Bombyx mori: one gene and its partner. The protein of the gene in region 1 purifies or fractionates together with the protein of each later gene. This does not show direct contact. Links are inferred from orthologs where the notes say so. Each region holds a gene or a part of one and is shown in the gene's direction. Other genes may lie near its edges. The genes, in order: serine/threonine-protein kinase Warts and LIM domain-containing protein jub.

Evidence for each region.
Region 2: the proteins of serine/threonine-protein kinase Warts (region 1) and LIM domain-containing protein jub purify together in Drosophila melanogaster (affinity purification with western blotting; 4 studies listed by BioGRID). This does not show direct contact. The link is inferred for Bombyx mori from reciprocal best matches to the Drosophila melanogaster genes wts and jub.

Annotation. Positions count from the first base shown.
Region 1 is NC_085112.1:13,709,105-13,717,365, forward strand, and holds the start of serine/threonine-protein kinase Warts, read left to right. Parts: upstream 1-3,436; 5' UTR 3,437-3,727; exon of another isoform or gene 3,728-3,760; intron 3,761-4,070; exon of another isoform or gene 4,071-4,097; 5' UTR 4,098-4,347; coding exon 4,348-4,599; intron 4,600-6,578; coding exon 6,579-8,261. Other genes in the region: thioredoxin domain-containing protein 5 homolog, read right to left, coding at 312-430, 546-682, 1,225-1,364. UniProt on the Drosophila melanogaster protein: Negative regulator of Yorkie (Yki) in the Hippo/SWH (Sav/Wts/Hpo) signaling pathway that plays a pivotal role in organ size control and tumor suppression by restricting proliferation and promoting apoptosis.
Region 2 is NC_085110.1:13,215,104-13,222,859, reverse strand, and holds part of LIM domain-containing protein jub, read left to right. Parts: coding exon 1-1,154; intron 1,155-1,511; coding exon 1,512-1,681; intron 1,682-1,768; coding exon 1,769-1,831; intron 1,832-5,314; coding exon 5,315-5,480; intron 5,481-6,256; coding exon 6,257-6,397; intron 6,398-7,599; coding exon 7,600-7,709; 3' UTR 7,710-7,756. UniProt on the Drosophila melanogaster protein: Regulates organ size by inhibiting apoptosis and promoting cell proliferation by influencing the expression of G1/S-specific cyclin-E (CycE) and apoptosis 1 inhibitor (th). Negatively regulates the Hippo signaling pathway.

The DNA of each region.
Region 1 (8,261 bases):
TATATTTTATATTCAGTCACATTCTTATGTTGTAGTCTATGAAGATAGGTCAGTCAGAAAAAATTATAATAAAGTGATATTATTAATAAATTTTGACACAGAACTTCCATTTATATCCATTCATCAAAATGGTCTAAATTAAGTATAAATCTCATTGGTATTTAACCTCATATCTGATTATGGCTAATGGCATTAATCTTGTGATGTTTGTAGGCTAGAATTTAATCCCATTGACCTACTTTTGCAATGAATTATGAAGAATGATTTTTTTTAATTCTGAGCAACAGTGACAAAATGGTTCTACTACTCACCTCTGTTTTGACAGAGAAGGCTTCGCTCAGAAACAATGTCAATGATGGTAAGTCCCTTGTTCCTTTGTATTCAACTGGTGTAAATGTATTTTTGTGGAAATAAAATAATGTTGGATAACCTGTAATTTTTTTCAAATTTATTTACACCATCAACTAGTGTACCTATTTTAAAAAAAAATTCTATTATGTACATACTTAAAAACAAGGAAATTATGTGTATGCTTACTTAAGTACCTGTTATTTCATTTTCATGACAAAGCTTAGCATGCACTGTGCAGTCAACTTGGGCAATGGCAAATTTGGAGTCCTTGGTATTAACCAGCTCTGCCAATTCTGACCATATCGGATAAAATTCTGTGCAATGTCTACACCTTAAAACATATAATTTCTGTAAATGGTATAGTACCGTAATGGTAAAAAATATAGATATTATGGTAATTTCAAACAGTATTTTATTGAAACTCTCTTGGAACACATCTTTAGTTGTGGATGGTTAACAACTTTTTTAATTTTATATCGTGAATTACCCTCATTGAATCAGTCGTCAGCCTTTTTGTAAAAATGCTCATCTAACTTTGTAGTTTAGTCAATAAGTATGAAGGATCTTTTTCACCACTACCCACATCAGTTCGTTTTTATTGAGGGCATTCAAATCTTTTGTTTTGAACGGAAGCTTGGCTGTGATCTTCGTATTTTCAATTTCTATTAGAGGTTCACACACAATAGGCCTCATCGATGTCACTACGGTATACCATTTACATTTCGGTCAACTAAAGAAAATTAGATTAAGTTTATTTATAAAATCGTTTCGATTCAATATTTAGTATAATTTTTATCATAAATAAATGAATATGTAGATTGTTTTGAATTTAATCACTGAAAGGAATAATGTAAATTCAATTATTGTTCTCACCATGGCGCGTAAAACATAATAAAGTTTCCATCCATTTCTTCGATCTGGAATTTGAAATTACTGGGATTGTATTCGTAAACAGAACTCTGTTCAGGAGCTACAAGATACGGAAATACAAATAGATATGGTAATATCTTCATTGTGGTGAAGGAATATATTTCTAAACAATGCCTCTGTGAATTGAGGTAACTTTTTTAGGTTGTTTTCATTTATATCTTTTCTCCTTCTCATTAGTTAAGTAGCTAATAGGTTAAATCTAAAACAACAAATAATTTCGTATTTGTTGGATAAATTTTGCTTTGCTGCACAGCACTTCAAACTTTTTCGTTTGGTTTGTCTATTGGCAGCACAGGGAACGTAGCACATATAACATACACAGTAATATTCTATAACAAAGGTGAATCTATGTCTGTTGTGTGGAAAGTCAACTGATATAGATTGATAAAAAATTGAATCAAAAATTAAATTAGATATCTTTTTTATTGTCCTTATAGGCAGACGAGCATACGGTCTACCTGATAGTGAGTGATTACCGTCGCCCATGGACTTCAGCAATGCCAGGGGCAGAGCCAAGCTGCTGCCTACCGTTAAGTATTCTCGCCGTTAAGTACTCTGCACAAGCCTCGTTTGAAGAAGGATATGTGGATTAACTGAACTGAGATAAAACAATACCATACCAATGAAATAATTAGTAAAATGGTTGGAATTAAACAAAATCTTAAGGGAGCCGGCACGGTGCGGGATTGTTCTGGCGCAGCTGGAACACAGGCCGTACTTATTGTCCGTTTAATGTTGTACTCATAGATAATACACATAACTTTTGTACTCTCCTCCAACTAATATATTCATCTGTGCTCTCCTGATATTATGTGTATTATTTATACTTTCCTCTCATGCTCGCTGCACGAGTTAATATTTGCGACGATCTTCTTTGAACTGTTGACTTTGAACCGCAACAAGAAAGCCGCGGCATATATCGCCGTCAAACACCAATAAGGGCGAACCGTTGGCCATATTTGTTCACCACCTAACCGGGGACCTGCAACACTTTCGCGAGATACGACGCCAAGGATACCACCGTTGGTTGCTTTGTGGTGTTTGTATTTTGCCGCACGCCGCCTATTATAATAGGTAGTTCGGAGGTTAAGGATGACAAGATAAGATCAATGGACTTTGGAAGAATTCAAAAAGCAATATCCAACTATTTTGTTTCGTTTAACCACCCTTGTGTACTTTCAGAGATACTAAAATGTTAATAAACCACCGTCATAACATACTAAACCTGATGAAACAGTAAATAAAAAAATAAAAAAGTCACAACTTGACAACAGCAACAACCTAAAAAAATTCCTAGCACTGGCCTCAGGTAGAGATGTACTTGGTTGAATTTAACACAGGATCGGAATCACAGCCCTCCGTGAAGATCCGGCGAGATCTCAGTGGGTGGTGTCTATGAGCTATTTCATACGTCGAGCACAGCAGAGAGTAACGTGCACAGCGAACGACAGAAGAATCTTTGAAAGTGGACCTGAAAGATCGGAAAGAATATGTTAATGGCTACGGCGGCTTTAGGTTGCCCTGTTGCCTGGGTCGGATATGTAATGAGAAGCGGAAAGGTAATGGCACGCCGCTTTATCAAAATAGCGTTCCGACGCTTCCATAAGGTTTTTACTGATAGAAACTAATTAGTTCTTACGTACCACGGTGCTCCGAAGGCTATTTTGCAGAAATGGGATTGGATAACCTGGAGAGAGTTCATGTGTGAACGGGACGCGTGAGCGAACACTACACTTACCTATTTCCTTATTAACTCCAAGCCTATTTCACAATGGAACGTATGCATGTTTTGTAGAGTGTCACCTTGTTATGAAGAAAATGAATTAGGCAATAGCAGATAGAAATTTCTTAATTTAACAGTCTTAGAATTAGACCGTTATACTCTTTTTTTTTTCTTTAGAATTTTTGCAGTTAGGATTTTTGCTGTGAGTCCTGTGACTAGGTACTTACTCCATGCCTGTGACTTTCTTATTATTCGGATACAGTTTCATTTCGACAATTCTGTAGAAGTGTTTTTTTAAAGGTCTGATTATTACTTTTAATAGAGAAATTCCTACATTAGTAAGCAGATGAGTGCTTTAGCTGGGTTCTTTTTTACGAAAAAGAGTCGTCAAACAAAATGGAATTTAATCTTCTGTGTATCCGAACACACTAAAGAATGTGGTAATTCTTCAAAATGGTCGCTTTGTATGGTTTGCCAACTTGCATGTCTGTGTTTTAGAGTCCTTTGTTTTCATATTTCCTTAGAAACTCTCGCTTTAAAGCACAACTCTATCGACTCCAGATTGCCTCTTCCGTATAAAAATTAATGCGACTAATCAAAACTAAGTGTGCAAGAAAGATGTCATCGGCAATGTGAGAGCTGTCGATCGAACTGAATTTCATTTTATGGGATTATGACATTTGTGCATATAATACGGATTTACAGAAAGTGAAAAAGTGCCTGGTAATGAATTACAGTAATTAATTATTCTTCTTAGTGCCTTGAATGAACGAAACATTGCTTTCCGAGCTCCCTCTAATTTTGGAATTCCACAAGTCTATGTCATGATTGATTCGCATTAGACATTCCTTACATCCTCGTACTCTTGGATAGAATGCGATACTGTTAAAAATTGTGTACTCGAATTGTCTGATACTGTAAACAGGTTCTGTATAAAGTCGACAAATCATATCCCTATCCTGTTGCCAAGATGTCAAACTTTTCTCATCTAACTTATTTAACTCATTATTTTATTATCACATAAAATTTAAGGGATCTAAAGCAAGAGGAATTCTCAATTGATTAGGTACTAATATTTAAAAATATTTTTCAGTTAAAAGAAAGTACCTTTCACGCTGCTACACAAAAAGCAATGTTGATACAGACTGACTAGTGAGGAAATCGATATATAAACGAAATAAATTCGATAATAAAGACAGTGACAGTGCTGCGAGTCTTAATTAGAGTGTTGAATAAATGGTGCGGAGGATAATAAACAAGGATATGTACAGGGTGTGGGGTGTGCTCATGTGATGGGAGGCGTGGGGTGAGAGGTGAGGCGCACGGGCGCGGGCGCGGGCGCCATGAACCCGCCGGCGCCCGGCAAAACGGCTACGCGCTCCGGATACCACCAGAAGGCGCTTGCCGAAATCAGAAACTCATTGCTTCCCTTTGCGAACATTGGAAACTCTGAACCGCCAGGTTCATCAGCTGCTAGCACAGTTAGTTCAGGAGTGAGTTCGGGGTTTAGTTCTTCTTCGGGAAATGGACTCGATAAAGACTTGAATGTGCTACCTCAATCCTTGAACCAACTTATTGCCTTGGGTTATGATGAGGTGAGTTTAGTTATAATGAATTGCTAAAAGTGTTTCTAAATAACAGATATGATTAGTGTTTTTTTAGTGTCATTATTCCATTATCTTTAATTTTTATAAAAAAACTGGCTGGCATTGTTTTGCCATAAAAATATTTCTAGGAAAGATACCGACTGCAGTGCCGGGTTGCTTTATAAATCTAAACCATTCTCAAATCCACCTGAAGATACACAGAAAATTTCATTAATATCGGTCCAGCCGTTTAGGAGGAGTTCAGTGACAAACACACGCACAGAAGAAATATACATATAAAAATACATGGAATTTATAATACAATTAAAATATAATAAGAAAGACTATCAACTTTTAATGTAGAAGGCAGTGTATGGCCGATATTATCAGTATTTATTGGTGATTAATGTCCATTTTCATTAATACCAAGGCTAAGGACAATCTTTAACCAGGTTTGAGTAAAACTTAAGTTATTGTTATTTGCAATAACTGAGAAATTTTAATTAAACATAAACACTATAAGTACAAGCTAATTACTTGCATATTGCCTGGTTGCAGTGGAATGAGGAATAGGCAATCATGAAACCAGTGGTAGTTTGTTTTCATTTTCAACAATCATGTTAAACATAATTTAAATTGAATCAAATTTATAGTCATAACAGTTATAAAATGAATGCTTAAGGTTGTGTTCTTGGATATAATGTTGACCAGAATTAAATTGAGAAGTAATTTATTCACAATACAAAAACACAAGATTTTAATTTTTATTTTCATTATTGTATTGTGCATGTTGTAAATGCATATTGTCTTGAGAATAAATATGGTCATATACCAATATTCTGTCTATACCTAACACTTTAACCATGTATTCTGGTTTAAAGGGCAGGCTGTCAAATATTTTAATGCATTTTTGAATTCAGCTTCGTGTTCAGATTTTTTAAAACCCCTATTGTGATCTATAGGCTTAGTTATAAAGCCTAAAATAATAAAATCTAATATTAATGATAAAAAAAGATTTTTTTAAAATTATTCTACACATGCTTTTTTTTCTACCGTCTTGGATTATATGTATCTTCTAGCTATTAGTATCATCGGTGACTGATAGCAGGAAGTTTTCAAGATCTCCAATATCAATTTAATTTTTAGTTTTCACAATTGTTCTCATAAATTTCCCAGGCGAAAAATTACATTACTGTGTACTCAAATAAATCCTTTTTTCAACATATATAATAGTATTAGAATGAGGTAAAATAGGAATTATATTCACATAGTTTGTCTATGTAAAGTTTATAAGTCAGCAAGATAATAATTATATTACAATCTACAACAAAATTACAATAAAAACTCCAAGCAAGATCTACATAAGAAGTTCGGTATACTAGTTTTGCCATGCCATTATTATTATATTACCACACAGAGACTAGGTTTGTTGGTCGTCAACTATCCATTGATCGAATGTTGGTTGTTAATTTATAATGTTACTCTGCCCTTACTCTGCTCGGGCACTGGACCCAGACGAAGATCGGGCGTTGGGGGAGAGAGTGCAAGGAGAGTCTTTTGGTAGGTAGGGCCCTAAACGTTCTTGGACCTGCGGTTCTCTCCCAATGTCTACGGACCATCAACACCCACATACTCTACGCGCCCCCTAAGCCCCCTGCCCGAATTTTTTATTATTAGATGGATGGTTTGTACCTGCCGCTGCAGGGTGGGGCACACCACCCTACCGAATTTTACTGTCAAGCAGTAATATGCTCTAATTAGAAGGGCAGGACAGTTAATATACTATACAATTGAAAAATTAGACCTCTTGTCTCGAGATGGATGACGGCGCATATACGCTGTGATGTCTATTGGCTCTAGTAACCACTCACCGTCAGAAGAGATATTCACGGTGTACTTAGATTATAATCAATTTGGTAAAATTTCATTATCTTGTTTTGCTTCTGTTTTTGAATAATGAGTATATTATTTAGAAAAAATCATTTCAGGACCCAGCTGTGAGGGCACTCAAATATGCAGGAGGGCGTTTTGATGCAGCTCTCGATTATTTGTCGAAACAGCAAGAACCTCTCAACGGCGTCCTCAAAAGCAGTAACTTGAGTGCTCTTGGCACCAAACTTATCCGGAAACCTAGTCTAGAGAGAGAGATAAATCTACATCGTGGTAGTCCTGCACTTGATTCAGGTGCTGGTAGCTCCCGGTCTGATAGTCCGCGTCAATCGGAGCCACCGCCGCTACCACACGAGAAGCTATCGCGACAGTATTCGCCTTCAGGTTTCTCAGAACCACCGCCACCTCCGCCGCCGCGATGTCCGTCCACGCCGCCGGTGCTGCCTTCCGTGCAGCAACTGCTCAAGCGCATGTCGCCGGCGCCACCTCTACCACCGGCGCGGGGCACCAGTCCCGTGGCGGCCGCGGCACCCACGCCGCCTGCCAGACAACCCATGATTGTACAAAATGGACCTCAAGTGCAACAGCAGCTTACGCAGCAGATACAAGCTCTCAGTATCTATCAAACGGGTGGCGGCGGCGAACTTCCACCGCCGTATCCGATGTCGGGTGCGCCGCCACCTCCTCCCTACTCGGTCTCTATCCAAAATCGTCAAAGCCCAACCCAGTCGCAGGATTACAGGAAGAGTCCATCTTCGGGGATCTATTCAGGAGGCACCTCCGCCGGCTCGCCGAGTCCAATTACGGTAACGCAATCGACTGGTTCAGCCGCGGGAATGACTCGCCCCACGCCGCTCCAGGCGTGGACCGCGAGACAAGCGGTGCAGCCTCCTATCATCATGCAGTCTGTGAAAAGCACACAAGTTCAGAAACCGGTACTACAAACGGCGATAGCACCGGTTGCCCCACCGCCAGCCACCAGTGCCGGAGCACCCCCACCCCCTCCTTCGTACGCGAGCTCCATCCAACAGAAGCAGGCACAGACTCCGCCCAGCTACCCGTCGGCACCGAAGCCGTCGTCTCCTGGCTCCACACCTACTGCGATTCCTCCCGCCGTCCCGACCACGGAGCCACCAAGTTATGCGATCACGATGCAAGTGCTCGCCGTTCAACGCGGCATGCACCCCGTCCCGCCGCCTCCGTACGGTAACCAAGCCGACAACACGACTACTGTTAATTCCCACCATTCTCCTTTACATAAGAAAATTTCGAATAACTGTGACGGTAAACCTGAATCGTCACAAGGGCCGCACGAAATTAAGTGTCCCAACCAGAACTGTACGAATAATCTCTTAAAAGACAACGTCACGGCCTCCGGCTCCGACAAAGGCTCTAACGGATCATCGGACAGACGACCAAAAATGTTAGATAAGATAAGGCATCAATCGCCAATACCGGAACGCAGAAATTACAGTAAAGAAAAAGAAGACGAGAGAAGAGATTGTAAAGTCCGAAATTATTCACCGCAAGCTTTCAAATTTTTTATGGAACAGCATGTGGAAAACGTTTTGAAATCTTATAAACAGAGACTGTTCAGAAGGATGCAACTCGAAAAGGAGATGAGTAAAATAGGTCTAAGTGCAGAAGCTCAGTGTCAGATGAGAAAGATGCTGTCCCAGAAGGAATCCAATTATATTCGATTGAAAAGGGCCAAGATGGACAAGTCTATGTTTACTAAGATTAAGCCTATAGGTGTGGGAGCATTTGGGGAGGTGACGTTG
Region 2 (7,756 bases), on another chromosome or scaffold:
TCTTTACGAAATTCCTGGGAACCCTGGTGCGCAATACCCACCGCCTGTTTACGAAAACGTAGATTATTACGGTGAACAGCGTTCACCACAACCACCATATTATCACCAGCTCTACCAACAGGGTATACCACCTCCTGTGTCTGACGGATACTACGACACTCGGTACAGCAAAGCTCAACCGCAGGTGCCTGTTAACACGAAGTCTAAGGCTATTCCGGCACTATATGAAAATATGCTTAGCGCAGACAGTGATAAGAAAGGTGAATATAAAATACAACAAAATAATGACAGATTCATACAACAGGGTTCAGTACCCGGTCCACAAGTCCCTAACACTGGACTTAGCAGGAGCAATGTTAATTTAATAGGAGAGAGGGGTAAAGTAGACAAGCACCCTGCCTTGGCCTACAGTAAACACCAAGAAAATATTAGTGGTGATTATACAATCATGAGATCAGCTCCACCTAAATATACTGATGTTAGTGCTTTATTGAAAAGTGAAAACACAGTTAGTTTTGATGACAAAGTAGTGACAATTCCATCTACAGCGATTTATGCTTCAATAGCACCAAGTGCACAGAGACCTAAGGCCAATATAGCTACAGAAGTACAGACATGTGTGTCTAGTCCCAAATTTTTTCACCCCAAGCCTGTTACTGTAAATAATATGCCGAAAGACAAACCTTTGGTGACAAATGGAGCGTATAATTCCAAACCACTTGTAAACAGAATGCAAATAGTGGAAGATAATAATGGGTCTGATTATGTGTGTATGACAGGAGGACCTTCTGCCACACCCATACCTATATCCAATAAAGATAATACATCTCTAACTGCTGAATCTATTGGTTCTAGAACCTCTGAATCTGCTAGTTCTAGACACTCTGAATCTATCACTTCTCGAAATTTGGTTTCCGGTTTAACTTCTTTATGTTCACCCTCACAATCTCCTGCACCAAGTCCTACACCAAGCTCAGTTTCTCAAGTATCTGGAGGTTCCCGAGGATCTGGTGGTAGAGGCAAGAGTTTACTGCCATATAGTATAACCCCGCCCAGACCTACAGGTCCAACTGAGGCCCAGAGAAAAATAGAAGAGTTAACTAGGCAACTCGAAGAAGAAATGGAGAAACAGGATGAGGAGGGAGAGTACTTTGGTATGTATACTGTAGAATACTGCACACTTAATGGTGGAACTACCATCCAATCAATCTCTGCTGCATTTGAATACTGGGACAGCTGCTATACTATACTATTGAGACTTGGACCTCGTATTTCTAGGTGGTCATTGGCAGCAAGAGAAATCACATTGTGATGACTATTGGCTCTAGTAACCATTTAACCCAGGTGAGAGGTGCAGGTGCAACCTATGCAGTAAACAATAAAGAAATATGAACATTGCTCAACTTAAATTGGCATTTGATAAATGAGAGTGAGAGCAACATGTTACATAATTACTATTGTAATAAACCAAATGTACTCGTTTAAACACCACTTACTTTTAACTTCCACAGGTATATGCCACACATGCGGGGCTGGTGTAACTGGTGCTGGGCAAGCTTGTCAAGCTATGGGCAATCTGTACCACACTAATTGTTTTATCTGCTGTTCATGTGGTAGAGCACTTAGAGGGAAAGCTTTTTATAATGTACATGGCAAAGTGTACTGTGAAGAGGATTATTTGGTAAAAAAAGATTATCAACCCATATCAATCTTCATAAACCTAAACATCAATACTTTTTAAATACGAATTTGTATTCTTGTATTTCAGTATTCTGGATTCCAGCAAACAGCTGAAAAGTGTGCTATATGTGGTCATTTAATTATGGAAATGGTGAGTTTTTTAAAAATGTCGTCTTTTATTTAAATTAATTAATTTGTAATTTGAATTTGATTTTGAATGTTTTAGTTTCTTGCTTAGGCAATGCCCAATATCTTGAAATAAAAAAAGTCTAAAATTAATAAAATATATTTTTTGTTTATCTATACTGATATTATAAAGAGGAAAGATTTGTTTGTTTGTTTGTATTGAATAGGCTCTGAAACTACTGAACAGATTTGAAAAATTCTTTCACTGTTTGGAAGCTAAACTATTCCCGAGTGACAGAGGCTATAATATTTCTTGAAAAAATTTAGGTATCCTTACTAAAACTCCAATAATATAACGCAAGGTGTAAAAAAATTACCTAAAATATTCTTTTCAACGCGTGCCCTGCGAAAACTATTGATGATAGAATAAAATAATGCACTACGACTTTGTAGAACACATTATTATTTACAAAAAGTGTCCCGACAGCGTATGTTTAACTATTATAGTTATGACTCAATAAGAGTTCTTTTATTTAAAAAAAAAAAACTACTTCAAATATCTTTGAATTTTATGTTAAAGACCCGAGCGGAGCCGGAGCGGGTCGCTAGTACTTTATAAACATTTAAATTATGAACATATTGGTAGGCAGTATAAATAATGATTTAAGTACAATACTATTCTCACTTTGATGTCATCGGCTGGTGGTGGCATGGTCATCCAAGTACTTATTAATGTTAAATGCTAATCATTTTATACTGAATATTTTCTCCATGCTAGGATTTTCTTATGGGTACAAGATATCAATATGAGACCAAAACTGGGCAAAAGGTATGATTATGGTAAGGCATACTTTAAGACTTAGCAGTAGCTAAGTGTGTAGTCTTAATGTGATGGTAGTAATCATCCTAGCTAATTCTGCCATGAAGCAATCATGCGTTCAGGTTTGAGAGGTGCAACAGCCATTATAAAAACATTTGAGGTTTAGACATCATGTCTCAAGGAGGGTGGGGTGGCATTCAAGTTGTGATGTCTGTGGGTTCTGGTAATCACCAATCACAACAATCATCTGGTAAATATCGGTGAGCCGAGATGTCTAATTTTCTTTTAGGATACGCAAATTACGATCATTCATTTAATTATGTAATGAATAATATCTAATAACAATATTATATCAAAAAATGTTAGTTAAAATGGTTATCGCCGCACCAAGCCAAGTGGTGGGTGACCCTGACTTGACCTGATCCACATTTCATTCCTTGTAAATCTGACAATCAGTATGAAATGAAAATAGTTTTTTTTTTAATGAAGTAATGTTATATGAAAATTTATACTTACGTTTTTTTTTTTCTCTTTTTTATTGCTTTAAATTGTCAACAAAAAATAAAAAAGATTCTATTCGAAATGGCCACTTCTGGCTTTTATACAGGCCTTTAATCTGCTTGACCACGAATCTATGTAATTACACACTGTTTCCAAAGGAAATTTTGCCACTGCTTGCTCCAAAGATTTTTTAAGATACTCATGTCGCCGTGTCGATTAGAGCAGGCCATTGCCTCTAAAACTGACCATAATTTGAAGTTTAAAAGGTTGAGGTCTAGGCTGGATGAGGGCCAGTCTTCAGTTCTTATAAAGTCCGGAACGTTGGTTTCAAGCCAGGCTTGGGTAGTTCCTGCCCTGTGACCAGGTGCAGAGTCCTGCTGGAAAGTCCATGAGATATTTTTAAAAAGTGTATTGCTGAGAGGTTTAATAACATGATCCAAGACTGTATCTTGATACACGTTCACTCCTTTTTTACAAAAAATGTAGTTTTGTGACTCCTTGATAAGACACGCCCCACCAAACCATCACTGACGCAGGATGATGACCTCGTTGTACCTTTCCGACCACTTGAGCAGCTTCTTTAGAACTGTGAGCGTACACATTATCATTTTGCTTATTGTAGTGTTCTTCAATCCTTAAAATTTTTTCATCGGTAAAGAGGATATTTCTGTGCCTTTCACCTGCGTATTGCGACAGAAGGCGTTTTGATCGATCCACTTTCTTTAATTGTAAATATTGATTTAGGGCATGTCCTATATATCGACGATAAGCACCGAACTTCTGGTCTTGTTTTATAATACGCGACAGAGTCCTAGCGGGATTCTTAATTTCTCGCGATAAGATTTTTTGCTTCCTAATGAGGTTTCGACGAATTGTGGCTTTCACAGCATTAACAGCTTTTGTAGTTCTAACAGCACGCGGCCGCCCCAATCTTTTCTGGTCTTCGACAGACGAAGCTTTGTTGTATCTGTTGATAGTACGATATACGAACATAGGACTGATAGCAAGCTTTCGAAGTGTCTGGAATATGACTGACGCCTCCATACCCACTTTGTCAATCACTGCAATCTTTTCTTTAACACCCCACTCCATATTGTAATTTGATAATGAACACGAAAAAATATGTGAAATGCCGCAAAATCTTAAAAAGTTTTTAAAATAATATAATGTGTTCCAATTTCAAAATAATTAAAAAGTTGAAAAAAATGAAAGTTTTAATGTGTTTATGGCCAGTCTAGTTACATGTTCTTGTTTGTTTGAGTTTCCTAGCCCACTGAGTTTCTCGCCAGATCTCAGTAGGTCGCGGCTCTGATCCGGTGGTAGATTCTGCGAAGCACTGCTCTTGCTAAGGCTAGTGTTAGCAAATTCTCTCAGGTTGAGCCCGTGAGCTCACCTACCCGTTCGGGCGTAACTGGAATAGCCCCTTAGGCTACCAGCTAATAGGTAGGCACAAAAAAAAAACATTAAAGTACTTACCTAGCATTATTAACTCAATTTCGACTCGAGTTTTTAATAGAACTAAGGAAATAGCGGGTTTCCGATCAGGTTTATATGCCAGTTATTTCCGTATGCATACCAAAACACTAGCTACTTTTACTAGCTAATTCCATATGTGGAACACTATTTTTTTAAATCGTTTGACAACATTGCACCTTTCAATAACTTTTTTCTAAGTGCAATTAAGTAATATGAATATCGTAAATAGATTCGTATACGAGGAAATGTGGACCTTGTTCAGGTTCTTAACAAGAATTTATTTTTATTGCACGTGGAAATAACTGAAAAGTATTTTGATCCAGGTTTTTAAAGAGGAGATACTAGAAACTTAAGGTTACGTAACTTTATTTGACTAAAACTCTAAAAGCCATATTACGTCATGAATAAGTATTTTAATTCCTAATAAGTACAGGCGTGAGCGATTACACACTGGAGACAGCTGGTGGATTAGGTTCTCTGGAAATTATTAAGACTTCGTCGTATTTTTTTCGCCCTGAATGATTGTTAGAGTCCTGGAAACTGCCTTTTTCAGTATTTAGCTTTATACTTACCTAATAATTATTCGTTTTTAAAGTCAATCATCCTACAAAGCATACGGGGTATAACCGGTTTTTTAATTTTAATTCCGCTAATGTGCTCAACATGTTGTACTTTTGTTATTATTATTATTATAGAAGATAATAATTCCAGATACTCCAAGCTATGGGTAAATCATACCATCCCGGCTGCTTCCGCTGCTGCATATGCAATGAGTGCCTGGATGGTGTTCCATTTACTGTGGATGTAGACAATAAGATCTATTGCGTCAATGACTACCATCGGATGTTTGCCCCAAAATGTGCAAGTTGCGGAAAAGGTAAATTTACCTTTTCAGTAATATAGTTACCATTAAGTAATAATATTGTTTTCCATTAAATATTTAATTTAAACAGTTTTGAAAGACGAATAAACAAATGCCGGTATATTCGAATATTCCTGAATGTTCTATAAAGTCTTCGCATTATTGTCAGAGATAATTTACTAACAATATTGTTGAATAATAATTTATGAAAGAGTATAAATTCTTATCATTTCTTTATCGAATATACTTTGTCCATATTACACATGAGTACATGACTTGATGGAATTTAGTTTAGGAAAAGTCAATATTTCCGATAAGAACTGATAAAATAGCTGTGAATGCAACAAAATTAGAAATGCGAATGTTAAATACGTCGTCGTGAATACATAATACATATTAATTTGAAGTAATGAAGTATGTAATGTTTAATCCCAGCGATGTTTTGATTGTGACTATCACGAAATATTATAATAATATAATTTTTTTTATTGCTTTAGTAAGCGGATCAACTTAGGGCCTATCCTACCTATTTTTATAAAGAAAATGTATACGTCTTACTGGTTTACAAAAATCTTTTATTTATTTATTGCCTAGATGGGCGAAGAAGCTCACTGGTTACCGAAGTTCATAGATATCAAATCTTGAATAACGACACCCAGCTTTAGACATGAAGTCGAAGTGTCTATTGTATACAGGTTGTCCCACGCTTCAAATCGTGAGGTATAAAATAGCGGCGGAAATGGCACTATCCCATTGAATCCTGAATGCTTACAGTTTATATTAATTTACAGGCATAACACCAGTTGAAGGTACAGACGAGACAGTAAGAGTTGTCTCTATGGATAGAGATTTCCACGTTGATTGCTATATGTGTTGTGTATGCGGCATGCAACTCACCGATGAACCCGACAAACGCTGCTATCCTCTAGCAGGTGTGTAAAAATAAATTAACGTTCTTAGTTTACTTAGGGTCGATTCGACCAAACAAGAGTAAATCTTATTCTTAGAATAACTCGTCAGTTAATCGAGAGTAAATCAATTTTACGTTTTACCAACTACAATTCTAAGAATAGTGGGCCTATTCGGGAATTGTTACTATACCGCCGTTTCGCACGGAATAACGGAGCTATTCCTAGAATAAAGTAATGGCGTCTGTCAGTCCAACATCTGATTTCTGTCATTTCATAAATATTTATTCTGTTTTAATTTCAAGTCAACGCAATGCACTAAATTATTATTAATAGTCTGGCATTGTATAATGCAACGTTTAAACGAAAAAAGATAAAACCACACGACAAAACTTGACAATTCCCTCAAACAAACAAGAAATAAAAATAATACGTTTGACAGCTGGATATCTTACACAACAGCTACTTTTTCACACTAAAATACGGCAAAATCGAGTTGACGATTTGTATGCTCTTACACTATGCCGTTGAACAACAACATTTATTTGCCGGATTTTATTTTTGTTCACCATTCACTCTGCTATTCGCGTATTGTTATTCCTAGCGCAAGTATACGTGGAAAAACGACTATGAATTTACTCGAGATTAAAATCATGGAATAGGTTATTCCTCGTATAGTTACTCGAGTTTAAATTTAAGTTTGGTCGAATCCGCCCTTAGAATCAGTAGATATGGTGAAATGAAGTTGTGGCCCATCTAAATAATCATCATCTTGGTTACCAGAGAACCCAGATATCATAGCCGTCGCTGTCTACTTTCAGATATTAAAGCAAAGTTTCTATTGCATTTAAAAATAAGCTAACTCGACATTCCACTGCCATAAATACTGAAAGAAATAGGCTGGATGGTTGTATCGATCCGAGTTGGCGCACATCACGGCCATGTATTAAAAAATCTTGATACTTTTTGATAATAAATATCGAAAAAGAGACAGGTGCAGTGTCACAAAAACCTAGAGCAGTTGATGGTGGACAGGCCGGGAAATCACCACATTACAGTTGTTATAAATTACCTATTTGGTCATAAAAAATAATAATACATAATATTAAATCTGCATTTGTTAAAAACATACAATAATGTACCATCATTATTATACATAGTTACAAAATGGACTTTTCAACTGTTGTAAAATCAATGAATTGTTGTAAAATGTTGTAAAATTGCAGGTAAATTAATGTGTCGTGCGTGTCACCTCGCCACAATCGGAGCAGCCACTGGACCGGGCCTTCCTCCCGCGCCTCATCTATCACCAGCCTCATACCAATACATGGGTTAAATGATCTTATAATTTGTGAAACTAAGTTAACTTAACGAAACATAGTT